Cricetulus griseus: one gene and its partner. The protein of the gene in region 2 binds, or shares a complex with, the protein of the main gene of each other region. Links are inferred from orthologs where the notes say so. Each region holds a gene or a part of one and is shown on either strand. Other genes may lie near its edges. The genes, in order: Sost and Lrp6.

Region 1 (6,644 bases), on a different chromosome or scaffold from region 2:
CCCAAGTCTGGAGGGAGCAACAGGCCGGCTCTCTGGCCCAGATAGGGTTAACAGTCCACATTCCAGAGCAGGGAAAAAGGAGACTGGAGGTCACAGACAAAAGGAGGGGGCAGCTTCTAACAACACCACAGCTCTGGTGTGAGAGATAGATCACCCCCAACAATGGCCACAGCTGTTTTTGTCTGCCCCGAAGGAAACTGACTTAGGAAGCAGGTATCGGAGAGGGCCCTTCCTGGAGGGGCTTCTGTCTGCCTTGTAAAGCTGTCAAAGCAGCTGCATTGATGTGTGGGGGATGGGAGATGAAAGGAGGACACAGGCGGTTGGCCACAGATGGACAGGCCACTTACAAGTCGAGGCAGGTGGCAGAGCCCTGCAGAAGCGGTGCAGGTGGAGGACACTGATTCATTGCACAGTTAGCATACCGAGGCAAAGTGGACCATAACCTCCTTCCCAGCCTTCCTCCAGGGCCATCTCAGCAAAGGCTTCTGCAGGTCCTTCCTCCTTTTTTTGCACCTCAGGTGTGAACCCTCCTGCTCATACCCCTCCTTCTGCCTGTCCATGGCCCTCTGCTCCTGCTGGCTGAGCCAGCAGCTCCTTTGGATTTCTTTGTGCCTAGACCAGTGGTTCTCAACCTGTCCGTCGAGCCACCCACCCCCAACCCCGCCGTGGGGGTTGTTGAATGACACTTCCAAGGGGATCAACCACCCTGAGATGAAGGGAAATATCAGATATTTACATTATAATTCATTACAGTTACAAAGTAGCTATGAAAATAATTTTCTGAAGAACTGCCTTAAAGGGTCACAGCATTAGGAAGGTTGAGAAGCAGTCGCTTAGATGGACCTGAGATGGCTCTCTGAAACTCCCCTGTTATATATGTCCCTTGGATTTTTCATCTAAGACTCAGTTGCTTATGAAAATATAATGAGAGACTGGAGAGGTGACTTGGTGAGTAAGAGCACATGTTGTGCAAGCATGAAGACCTGAGTTCAAATCCCTACCATCCATGTGGAAAAGTGGTCATACATGCTTATAACCCCAGGATTGGGGGGTGGGGGGTGGGGCAGAGGCAGGTGGATCACGGGAGGCCACTAGCCAGCCTAACCTGAATGTCTCAGGAAGAGATCCTGTCTCAGGGAATAACCTGGAGAGTGACAGAGGAGCACACACCTCCCCTGGTCTGTATGCACCCACACATACATGTACCCTCTCACACATATACCATGCACACATGTACACAGCAAGTGTAATACTCTGAGAAATGGCGGCACTAACTGAGAAATGTCACCACTAAAAGCACTGGCCTTGGCTTTTGCTAAGAAATAGGATTCTGTGTTGCCTGCCCCAGGCCTGGCCAGGGAAGGAACTGCCTTTGGCACACCAGTCTATAAGCCACATCAAGTTCCCTGGCTAAGCATCACCTGTGATGGATCCCAGGTCCCAAAGGGTAGAAGAGATTTCCTCTTTGTGCTCCATCTCCAAGAGCTGTGCTTACCCTCCACCTGTTGCCAGAATCCCACCTTCTCACCGGTGGCTCTGGACTCTCTACTTCTCCCTGGTTTTAAGGAGAAAGCCAAGGGACTTTTGCTCGGAATCTTCAGTGCTGAGCCATATGAACTTGAGGCCAATGGGATTTCTTTAAAAGCACCCGTGTAGAAGAGTGCTTGCATAGCAAGCATGAGACTCTTAGGTTGGATTCCCCCAAATAAAAAAGGCATCCTTCTGCTTGTGGGTGGGTAGTGGGGTGCAACAGACACCTTTAATTAAGACCATTAGCTGGTGGGGTGACAAAGGAACTTGGCTAGAGGAATTTGGTCAGCTGGACTCTGCCTTCTGTAGAACTCCACATGTTTCCTTTGTTAAGCTGGCCCACAGTTTGTTTTGAGAATGCCTGAGGGGCCCAGGGAGCCAGACAATTAAAAGCCAAGCTCATTTTGATATCTGAAAACCACAGCCGTCAGAACGTGGGAGGTGCTGGGAGAGTTGGCTCTGTCCTTGCCTCACCGCACCCCCTCCCACTTGGGTCACCTGGGAGTGCCAGCAGCAATTTGGAAGTTTGCTGAGCTTAAGAAGTCTTGGGGAGGGCTTGCTCTGAGCACACCCCTTTCCCCTGAGGAGGGGGGGTGAGGAAACTTGGGAACAGCCCTGTTCTAGTCCATCCTTATTGGCTGGCATGAGGCAGAGGGGGTTTTAAAAGGCGACTGTATCTAGGCTGGGGACTGGAGCCTGTGCTACTGAGTGCCTTCCTCCATCTGGCACCATGCAGCTCTCGCTAGCCCTGTGTCTTGTCTTCCTGCTTGTACATGCAGCCTTCCGTGCTGTGGAGGGTCAAGGGTGGCAAGCCTTCAAGAATGATGCCACCGAAATCATCCCTGGGCTCAGAGAGTACCCTGAGCCTCCCCAGGAGCTGGAGAACAACCAGACCATGAACCGGGCAGAGAATGGAGGGAGACCTCCCCACCATCCCTATGACACCAAAGGTATGGGATGGAGAAGACAAGTTGTTAGCATGGGGGCCCGGGAGGTAATGGGGGTAGTTTTAGAATCTGCTCTTTGGAGGCCTTGGAGATTGGGCGGATAGTTAGCCTCTGCCACACCAGGGGAGGGACAAGCTTGCCTGGAAGAATGCTAGCACAGCATTAGAGTCTGAGGACAGGCTTGGGGAGGGGGGCTGGCTGAGCACCCAAGACAGGGGTCAGGCCGAGATCAGCCGAAGCTGGCATTAACTTAGGCAAGGGCTTGTAGGATGGTTCAAAGAATCTCCTAGATCTGGCTGGACCAGTGGGAAGGTGACAAGGTAAGGCTGGTAAGCACCTTGATGGATGCTGTGGCTGTACTGTATGGCCACCCCATAAGGTAATCCTAGCTTGAAGGTGGATAGATTGAGGCTCCTGAGATAAAGCCACCTTGGAGAAGGGGTAAAAGAGCTGAGACTGGAAGCTGGTTTGATCCAGTTGCAACACAACCCTAGATTGGGTTTGGATTGGAACCTGAAGCCGGAAAGAACCCCCACTCAGTTCCCCCTGTTGGGCGCAGTGGGTTAGCATCAGAGAACAGGCTTTTAGGTACAGTTTTAGCCAGTGACATGACTGGCAGATGAGTGTAGCGTCCCCCCATATGGGCACAGGTGGCACCATCTGCCCTCTGCTTGCACCCTGGCCCAGCTTTGTCTCTCCTGTCTCTCCTGTCTCCTGGCCAGTGAGGAGAATGGGGAAAGCGCTACCCTGGAGAAGCAGGAGCAGAGGAGCGTGCAATGTGGTCACGTTTTGCAGAGGAAGTGCCTGACCTAAGGACACTATTCTTGGAAAACCCCCAAACTTATCCTTCCCTGGGCAAATCGACTCGCCTCCACATACCACCTCTACAGGGGTGAGGAAGTCAAATCAGCCCAGAAACCAAAGAGCCAGCCACAGAAGGGTAACACTTCCGCAGCTGTGCCTGCTCTCTGGGGTGGAGGTGGTTGCTGGCCTCTGCTTCTCTCTGGTTTTGGTTCTGGAACTTTTTTTTTTTTTTTTAAATCTTTTCATGCCATATTAGGGCTCATTCTGTGAAACTTTTGGGGGTAGACAGGACTCACATATGAATTATCTAGCTTAAAAGCTCCTGTCCACCCACCTAAGCCCATGGTGGGAGACATAGCCTGGGTGTGTGCATGAGATGAGGCCAGGCATGGGACCCAGCCTCTTCCACAGAAGGCAGGCTTGCATCACCATGAGCTATTGTTCAAGGCACACAGAACACGAGAGCCTGGTATGCAGCAGGTGCTAAACAAATGCTTATGGGGGTAGAAGCTGTAGGGCTGGGGGCCAGAACTCTGACTCCCTCTGCTAAGGAAGTAGCTAGCGAAGAGTGAGCAGCCCTCTCCCCCCCACCCCAACCCCTCCCCAACCTGGGATCCTCTAACAAATCACTTTCACCCTTGAAGGAGCCAGAAGGTGCTGGCATCCTAGGCAGGGGTGTCAGGCAACCCAGTCCTGCCTTTGGGGCAAGTTCTTTTCTCAGCCTGGACCTGTGATAATGAGGGGGTTGCAAACGCCGCCTTTGGTTGCTTTCAAGTCTAATGAATTCTTATCCCTGCCACCCGCCCTTCTACCCGCTTCTCTACAGCAGCTGTCCTGATTTATTACCTTCAATTAACCTCCACTAGTTTCTCCATCTCCTGAGCCCCCGTCCCTGCTCCAGTGACTGGTAAAAAATTTAGAAGGGACCAGAGTCAGCCCTAGCTGGCTAGCGGCTGCTAGGCAGGGCTGGGGATAAGGAGCTAAATTTCTAGAAGATTGCTTGGCTATTATGCGCGAAGCTCAGGGCCGGATCCCTAGTACCTCATAAGCCAGACAGTGGGTGATCCACGCCTGTATACCACCACCGGAGAGGTGAAGATGGGAGCTCAGACACTCAAGATCATCCTCAAGTACACAGCTCATTTCAGGCCAGCCTGGGCTACATAAGACCCAGTCCCCAAACAAGAACATACTGCCAGCTCTGACTGTGCCATGTAGCGCCCGGTATAATGCGCATGTAGTGGATGAAGCCATTGAATCCTGGGGCAACCTGTTTTACAGATGTGGGGAAGAGAGACGTTAAGTTGCTTGCCCACCGACCACATAGAAAGTAAATGGCCGAGCTCTGGTGTTTGATCACTGGCTTCTAAGGACAGTGAGCAGCCAGGGAGAGATCTTCCCCTGCAAGCTCCAAAAGTACCTGGTGCTTCCTTCCTATAAGCCATGCATGGCTGAGAAAGCGCCTGGAGAGCAGCAGGTTTGGAAAAAGCAGGGAGAAAATAGCGGGAGCAGGCCAGCCTGGGCTAGGCTGCCGCCCTTACGCTTCGCTCTCTCCGCAGACGTGTCCGAATACAGCTGCCGCGAGCTGCACTACACCCGCTTCGTGACGGACGGGCCGTGTCGCAGCGCCAAGCCGGTCACCGAGCTGGTGTGTTCGGGCCAGTGTGGCCCCGCGCGCCTGCTGCCTAACGCCATCGGCCGCGTGAAGTGGTGGCGCCCAAACGGACCCGACTTCCGCTGCATCCCGGACCGCTACCGCGCGCAGCGGGTGCAACTGCTGTGTCCCGGCGGCGCGGCGCCGCGCGCACGCAAGGTGCGTCTGGTGGCCTCCTGCAAGTGCAAGCGCCTCACCCGCTTCCACAACCAGTCGGAGCTCAAGGACTTCGGACTGGAGACCGCACGACCGCAGAAGGGTCGCAAGCCACGGCCTCGCGCCCGGGGCGCCAAAGCCAACCAGGCGGAGCTGGAGAACGCCTACTAGAGCGCTCTCGGGCTCCCGCAGCCCCCGCGCGATCCGACTCGTTTTCATTGTAACGCCTGTAGCCCAGGCCAGGGGCGCCAAACCTTCCAGGCCATGCGGAGTCCCCAGCCGCTAGAGTCCCCTTGCCCTCCTGCCGGTTGCGGGAGTTCCCGCAGGCCAGGAGAGGGAGCTGAGTCATAGACACTGAGCCACTCTGCCCAGCCAGGGGCGGTGCGGGGGAGGGGGGCTCCTACCCTCGCCGGTCCCCTACAGGACACGGTAGCATTTTCACCGTAAAGGGAGCAGAGTGTGGAAGGACCTGGCACTGGTTACAGAAGTACAGTAAGATTCCCCACCCCACCCCACTGTAAAGCCCGTGTGTGCAAGAACACAGGACTAGATAGGATTTCTGGCCTTGGCTTGGCCACTGAGTGTGAGTTTGGGCTACGTGGTTCTCTTCTGGTACCTCAGTGTCTCCTTTGTAAAATATGGGTCACGGTGAGATTAGACTCTCCAAGGACTCTGCTGAGCTTCCAAGGGTTGGGGTGCTCCCATATGGACAGGTGGAGGAGACAGGGAGAGAATGAGGGAGAGAGAGAGAGAAGAAAAGAGATTTCTGCTTGGCAACCTCCTAGAAGAGGCTGTTGATTCCCAGTCTGGCCTCCCCGGATGTTTGGCTACCCCCACTCCTTCGTCTCAAATTTGCCTTCAAACTGGGGTAGAGAAGGACAGGGTCTCAGAGATGGTGGAAGGGACAGAAATCGCACCCCTGGTCCCCAAAGATCAGTTTCCTGCCCCCCACTGCCTTGCCATATTTCAAAGGGATTTTCCACACAACAGTTTAAGGTCGTGGGGGAAAAACTGGGCTTGCCGGCCACTTCCAACCAAAGCTGTCTCTTCCAGGACGCCTCCTCCCGCCTGCCACCCACGGACACATTTCTGTCCAGAAAAACAGCGTCTTCATGCTCTCCTTAGTGATGGCATATCTTACATGAAAGAGAATCATAATCCGGGGAGGGACAAGTGCTGTCCATATGCCGAGAGGCTGGGAGGCGCCACAGCCGCCACCCACAAATCCTTTTGTAAACCATTTCCAGACACCTCTTACTTTCTGTGTAGATTTTAATTGTTAAAGGGGTGGGTGTTTGTAACTGTAGGAAGAACGTGGAGCAGGGAAGCCCCTGGGGCTGGCCTGGTGGGTTTGGCGAACTTTCCATGTGGGGCTCATCCGCAAGAATGGAAGCCGTGGTTTTTAAAGAGTTCAGTGACATATTTATTTTCTCACTTAAGTTATTTATGCCAATGTTTTCCTTGTAGAGAATGACAGTGTCAGTACCGCTTTGTGAAGCACAAGTGTGTTTTTTTGGCGACCAGAGGCATTGTTAATAAAGACAATGAATCAT
Region 2 (6,544 bases):
AGCTGGTTTCAAAAGCCTAATAATAAAAAAATGATTTATAGAACTAGAAAAATTGCCAGGGGAGACTTCTGACACATAGTTTTGTTTCTAAAACTGAGAATTCTCTTTTAAATATTTTAACTCAGAACTTCTACTTTTCTAAAAGATAAATTATAAATTATTTCATTTAAAAAAAGCATATTTTAATAAATAATTTGTAGAACATTAAAGTTAGTAGAAGGAAAAACTTAATGGTCACATGGAACTGAAATAGACAAAATTATATGCTTGTTCAACTGCCAAAGATAGCATAACAAAGATCTAATTTCCTCTTACTTGGGTGAAGCTAAAAAGACAAGCCATTAGGCGACTTTTCAATGTCGATTTCACAACTTGTACTTTATGAAGTCATTGCTCTGAATTTTCTATTTAGCTTGTGTTACAAACAACCCTGTGTTTGCTGTTACAGTATTGTTATCATTATGCAATAGAGCCATCCATTATGATTTGTTTTCCATCATAATATGGGTGCTACATAAATTTGTGTTGATGTTAAGATTGTCGACGATCCACAAAGGAGCAGAATGCCCCAAACGGACATTACTTATGATATCTGAATGTGCATCAACAGAGGTGGTTCTCGGTCTTTCAGGTATACAATATTATTCAATTATCTACTTGGTCTGAAGACCAAATCCAGGTCCTGTGGGTGCTAAGCAAGTGCTTTACTACTGAGCTACATTCCAGGTCTTGGTTTACTGAGACTAGGTCTAGCTAGACAGTCCAAGCTGGTTTCAAGTGGGCAACCTTCCTGCCTCCACCCCTTGGTGCTAAGATTTCATACTCAACAATGTTTTTCTAAATGTAATAACAAAGTAAAGAAGAAAAATGATGTGAAGAAGCCACAAGACCATGTCTTGTTTCTTACAACACACACAGTGCTTCTTGCACCGTCCACCTCACTTACTATACTCGTGCAGGTTCAGCTCCTTTACTGCATGGATGTCACTCAGCTGAGCAATTCGAGCCTGGACCTTCGTTCTTCCTTCTCGACCAGTCATGTCAATTTTTTCAATCATTTGCTGCTGCTTATCAATCCAATAGAGCCAGTTTTCAAACACAGTCAGACCCACAGGCTGCAAGATATTAGAGTCTTCTAGCACTATCCTGTTGGCACCTTGGAAAAGGAAAATATTCAACAGTAATGATTTGTGTGGCCAAATCCCACTTTCCACAGTTATCCAATGAATACTAAGTGGACTCGAAAAGTATGGGAAATACAAGCTCTGCACCATGAGACTTAACTGTACCAGAAAACGGTACTAAACCAGACATGTGCAACTGGGAATTAATTACCAATATACAGGGACTTTTCTAGTTAGGAAATGTAGCAAAGAACTTGGGACAGTGAGTTTCAATTTGTTTTTAGCAGAATCCATTTTCAAATTAAATTATATGAAAAACTAACACAACAAAGCAGATGAAAGCAATGCTTGTCTAGATGAAGCAGTGGTAGAAAGCCCAGGGTTCTATGCTTAGCACCCCCCACGTTCTGCAAACACCTGAGACATTTATCAAAAACAATTCTACCCTGATTCCACTTGGCTTCTAAAAATACACAGTCCATCTGACTCACAGGTTATGGACTAATCCTGTAATATCCTGGACTCAATGTCCAAGAACAGTAATACAAGGCAGGGGGGATTAGCTTCTGGATGGTGTGGTAATGTTGAAGCATAGACAGGTGATTCTTGGCACCTCTAGAGTTTGGTGTCATCCATGCTCTCAGAGGATCTCAGAACATATCCTCTGAAGAAAAAGGAGGACCATGTACAAGTCAGCAACATCGAAAGTTTTTTTTTTTTTTCCGAGACAGGGTTTCTCTGTGTAGCTTTGGAGCCTATCCTGGCACTCGCTCTGTAGACCAGGCTAGCCTCGAACTCACAGAGATCCGCTTGCCTCTCCTCCCCAGTGCTGGGATTAAAGGCGTGCGCCACCAATGCCCGGCCAAAATCAAAAGTTTTATGGACTCATATGTGTAAGAATTTTCGTGTGTGTGTGTGTGTGTGTGTGTGTGTGTGTGTGTGTGTGTGTGTGTGTGTGAGAGAGAGAGTGCGTGCATGCGCGCGCATTTCTGAGGACTGACCCCAAGGCCTTGCTTATAGCTAGACAAGTGCTCTAGCAGTGAGCTGCATGATTCCAGGTGACCACACGGCAGCTCACCCGTCTCTAACTCCAGTCCCTGGCAGGTACCGGGTACACATGTACTACACAAACATGCATTCAGGCAAAACAGTTATTTTTTTAAACTTAAATCTCAAAATAGTGGAAAAGGCAGATTGTCTAGTCAATGGTATTGAGACTAAGTAGACAAAAATGCAAAGTTTCTTGTCTTATCAGCAAATGGAGGTTCCCATGAACCTCAAAGTACAAGATAACTCCAGATAAAACTCTACTAAACAAGGCCAAGGTTGACCCTGACCAGACAGATTCACTTTCATATACCTTAGCAGTAAATTCATATTCTGAACCCACAAAAAAATTCTAGAAATTCAAAGTGGAAAATGGCAGATGAGTACAGTGGTATATACCCACATTGCAGCTGCTCAGAAGGCATAAGCAGGCAGGGGTACCTCAAGTTTTTGGTCAGTGTGGTAAACAGTGCAAGGCTTTCTTTAAAACAGTGGTATGGGGACAGAAAGGGGGGTGTCGGGGGACGGGGGATGGGACTTATGAGCAGTAAGAAACAGGGAAATGCAAACTATCAATCAACACAAAAGAAATTTTGTTCCATTTCCATAAGTAAGAAAAAATTGCTACTATTATATACATTTCAAACTACTGGACTTATAAAAATCCCCAACATTACCAAGTGCTAGGGAGACAATTCTCATATAATGTTGATAGGTTCTTTAGACTATTAAAACTTTGGAGAGAATCCACATTCATTTTTATCTGTCGGTACAAATGGGTGTGCTACTGTCTCTATTATGTAGAAATTCCACCACTGCTTTTAGGCAACAGAGAGGTTCACATAGCAAGGTGGGGGCTGGCTGGTTTGTTTTTGTTTTTGTTTTAACAGGTTTTTGGAATTAGTCCAGCAGGTCTCAAAATAAGAGTCTTCCTGCTTCTGTTTCCAAGTGCTATGATTACAAGCACTTAACACCTTTCCTTATTCTTGAGTGGCACTGATAGTCACATACTGATAGGCTACATGGAATTTCTCCATGAAACACTATCACAAATGATGTTCAGTGATCACTCTGTTAGTATTTCTGTCAGACAGTCATCTAAAAGAGTAACTGCCAAATCAAAGGCTCTACCTCCTTTCAATCCTGGTAACTATTGGCAGACTGTCCTCCACTAGAGGTTCTACTCTTTTAATTGACCCCAAAGTGTCCTGGATTTGTGGTGCGGGAGACAGGATTCAGCATTCACATTAGGCAGATGCTGTACCAATGAGCTCCACCTTCACCCTTAGGAGAGTATGTTATTTCTACCATCCTGGCAAGTACTGGGTTTAATAAACTTCAACATACTTTTTGCCATTCTGACAAAAATAAACAGTGTATTATTTCAATTTTATCTTCCTGGTCACTAAAGAGGCCATGCAGAAACTGGATATCATGAATTATGATAGAAGAGAGAAGACCACAGAGAAACAAAAGGTAAAAATGATGACTGTTTGAAGAGTGAGAATACTCAGATCTTAAGGAGACATATTAGGAAACACACTTCAGAACAACGTCTGCATATGGGAGAGTGCTTCTGAACTTTCATATGGAAAAATGCAGAGAGATCAATCATAGGCTAGATTTCAGAGAGGACAGAATGTAAAAGTAGAGTGGAAGAATTAGGAAAGAAAACAAAAAGATACATAATTTTCAGATCAACAAAACTGCTGAGTAATTAGGGAACAAGGATGTAATCTCAAACATCCCCCCAACTAACATAATGCAGAATATATTTAATGAAAAAATTATAATCATGTACAAAAACAACACAAAAGAAGTACAAATGCACAGTAGTGAAATCATCTTAAAATTTAAGTCACGATACAGAAACACTTTGGGTACCTGAGAGATCACTGCTTTCAATTCGCCGGAGGTCTGAATCAGCCCAGAAGAGCTTGCCCAGCTTGCTGTCCAGTGCCAAAGCAATTGGTTTACTTAAGCCACTGAAAAAGAGGACCTCCCGTTCTGTTCCATCCAAGGCAGCCCTTTCGATTTTAGGAGATCTTTCCTGGAGATTGGTAAAATACATATACCTGAAAACAACAGGAGAAAAAGTTACCAAAGAGCCAGACAAACTGAGAATATTCTTGTTAAGAATATGCAGAAAGTACAGCTCAGTGGGAGACCACTTGCATAACACGTGCAAGGCCTTGGGCTTAATCCCCCAAACCACAAACATTTATTTATAAAGATAGGAGGTAAAATACTTTCAAATCTATCTAAAAATTCTCAGCTATATGCAAAGACATACTATGCATATAATGGAATAATCGGACAGTTCAAAGCACGGATATACTTCATAGTTAGGTTAAATATATCTATATCCTCAAGCATTTACTGTTTACGGTAAACAAAGTCTTTCTGATGGACTTCTGGGGTATGCACTCTGCAGTCGGTCGCTCTTAGCAATCAGCCTACTGTGCAATAGTGTGCTAGAGCTGCTCAACTGAGAGCACCTACTGATTAAACTTTCTCCAGGTTCTCCCTGCCCACTCCCAGTCTATTTTTTTACAAAGGTCAAGGGATATATTTATTATTTTTAATAACAGTCACAGAGGGCACCAAGAAGTAAGTGTTCAGAGAGTTAAATTTCACAGAAAAAAATAATGTCCAGAGAGATCTAGTTACAAAATTTTTAGGCATTTCTCTAATTAACCATTTTAATTACCAAAGATGGGACACACAAATCATTTATAGGTTTCATCCCTTTTCTGTAACTCTAGAATTAAGCCATTTTCCTGCTAATGCCCTTATCATCTATTCAGATGCAGCTGAGCATTGACTTTTTTTTTTTCTAAATCACATACAAACTCCATTAAATGAAAGCAGACATACTAGTTATTTATAATGGAGCCGAAGGTCTAGTAATAACCATGTAACAGAAAAACAGTTGAGTAAAGCAAACTGGAAAGGAATAATCATGACTAAGAAGACACAGAGTAGGCACTAGATTCCAGAAGTGAGAGAATCACACCTGGCTGGGGGATGAAGGAGATCAAGGCAAGCCACACAGAAGATGTGGCAGTGAAATAGTCCTGGAGGGTATGGGTGGGATTTAGAACTAAACCAATGAAAGAACTCTGGGCAGTAAAATCAGAAAAAACAGTAAGAAAATGCAGGACCAAGTAAATGGGAAACACTGAGTAGAGTTGTTTGCTGGTGCAAGGAAGGGTGAAGAGGGCATCAGAGGCGAAAGTGGAAAACTGAGGCTTTTGTAACATACCCTTTCTCAGGGTTTACCACAATGGCTCTGGGTCTGTCTTGCTCGCCTTTTAGAACCACTCCAATTGATCGCCCATCTAATCTTGTCACATCAATGACATTGGTAGCTTCACAGGTCCAGTAGATGTAACGGCTATAAATATCGATGCTGAGGTCATAGGGCTGTATTTCGAGGTTCTGATTTGGAACTGAGCTAACAACTACAGTAAAACCCTAAAGAAAGGAAAAAACACACAAGTTAGATTCCACACCAAACTACAGGCCATGACCACAATTATTAATTTGTGAGGTCACACCTCAGAAGGGTATCCAGTCTTTGGGGATATTTCTTATAGAAAGGGCTTTTATGAGTGGTATATCTGCTTGTTAACATGCATTTCAAATATCCCCCTGGGTTGCTTTATGGAACAGAAGAGTATGCTGAGGATAGCAAAGATAGTCCAGGAATCTGACAATGTCTTGATCAGAGGAGGTACCAGCTTTCCCCCATAACTATAAACAACTGTGGCTCCAATCACACCCTGGAGATACCTCTAGAGCAGTAGTTCTCAACTAAGGGTGATATTGCATCCATGGGCATTGGGAATGTCAAAATGTGAGAAACCTACTGATGACTACTGGATAAATACAGACCAAGAATGCTTCTAAACATCCTGTAGTGCATACATAGGGTAGCCTTACAGCAAAGAACTGTGCAGTCCCTAAGACCAGCAATACCAAGTGTGAGAAACCTTATTCTTCTGGAGAAAATAGCAATCAGGAGCGCACGCACGCACGCCCGCACGCCGCACTATTCAGACACAGGGTCTTAATCTATTGGCTAGGAGCTTTCATTTTTAGGTTCCTACATGCTGGGACTACTGCCCTATACCAAGATGCCTGACTACAAATTAATAATAAGTTTTTTTCTTGTAAAGCCAACCAAAAGCAGATTTGTCTATTTATTCTGTCCATATAAATTTTATTTCATTTACTAGGACTTTGAGCTAATATAGCCTTTTAAAAACTACTTATATCATTTATTATCTTTGGCTGTGTAATTTCTCTCTACCAGTTATTGAGTACTAGCCTATGTAGTACAAGGTACAGCTGGAGTACAAAGTATGACC

The links.
Region 1: the proteins of Lrp6 (region 2) and Sost are in contact, whole or in part, in a crystal structure (PDB 6L6R), measured with the Homo sapiens proteins. The link is inferred for Cricetulus griseus from reciprocal best matches to the Homo sapiens genes LRP6 and SOST. Residues at the interface, in NP_001401174.1 of Homo sapiens: Arg28, Asp52, Val70, Ser71, Glu73, Leu95, Ser96, Asp98, Glu115, Arg141, Trp157, Trp183, Asn185, Ala201, His226, Phe228, Trp242, Met269, Arg336, His361, Asp379, His404, Asp406, Thr422, Glu447, Arg449, Trp465, Trp491, Asn493, His534; in NP_079513.1 of Homo sapiens: Leu115, Pro116, Asn117, Ala118, Ile119, Gly120, Arg121, Arg169, Thr171, Arg172, His174, Asn175, Gln176, Ser177.

Annotation. Positions count from the first base shown.
Region 1 is NC_048600.1:116,128,569-116,135,212, forward strand, and holds Sost (sclerostin), read left to right. Parts: upstream 1-2,260; coding exon 2,261-2,480; intron 2,481-4,840; coding exon 4,841-5,262; downstream 5,263-6,644. UniProt on the Homo sapiens protein: Negative regulator of bone growth that acts through inhibition of Wnt signaling and bone formation.
Region 2 is NC_048601.1:14,479,184-14,485,727, reverse strand, and holds part of Lrp6 (low-density lipoprotein receptor-related protein 6), read right to left. Parts: intron 5,649-6,544; coding exon 5,437-5,648; intron 4,247-5,436; coding exon 4,056-4,246; intron 1,157-4,055; coding exon 947-1,156; intron 1-946. UniProt on the Homo sapiens protein: Component of the Wnt-Fzd-LRP5-LRP6 complex that triggers beta-catenin signaling through inducing aggregation of receptor-ligand complexes into ribosome-sized signalosomes.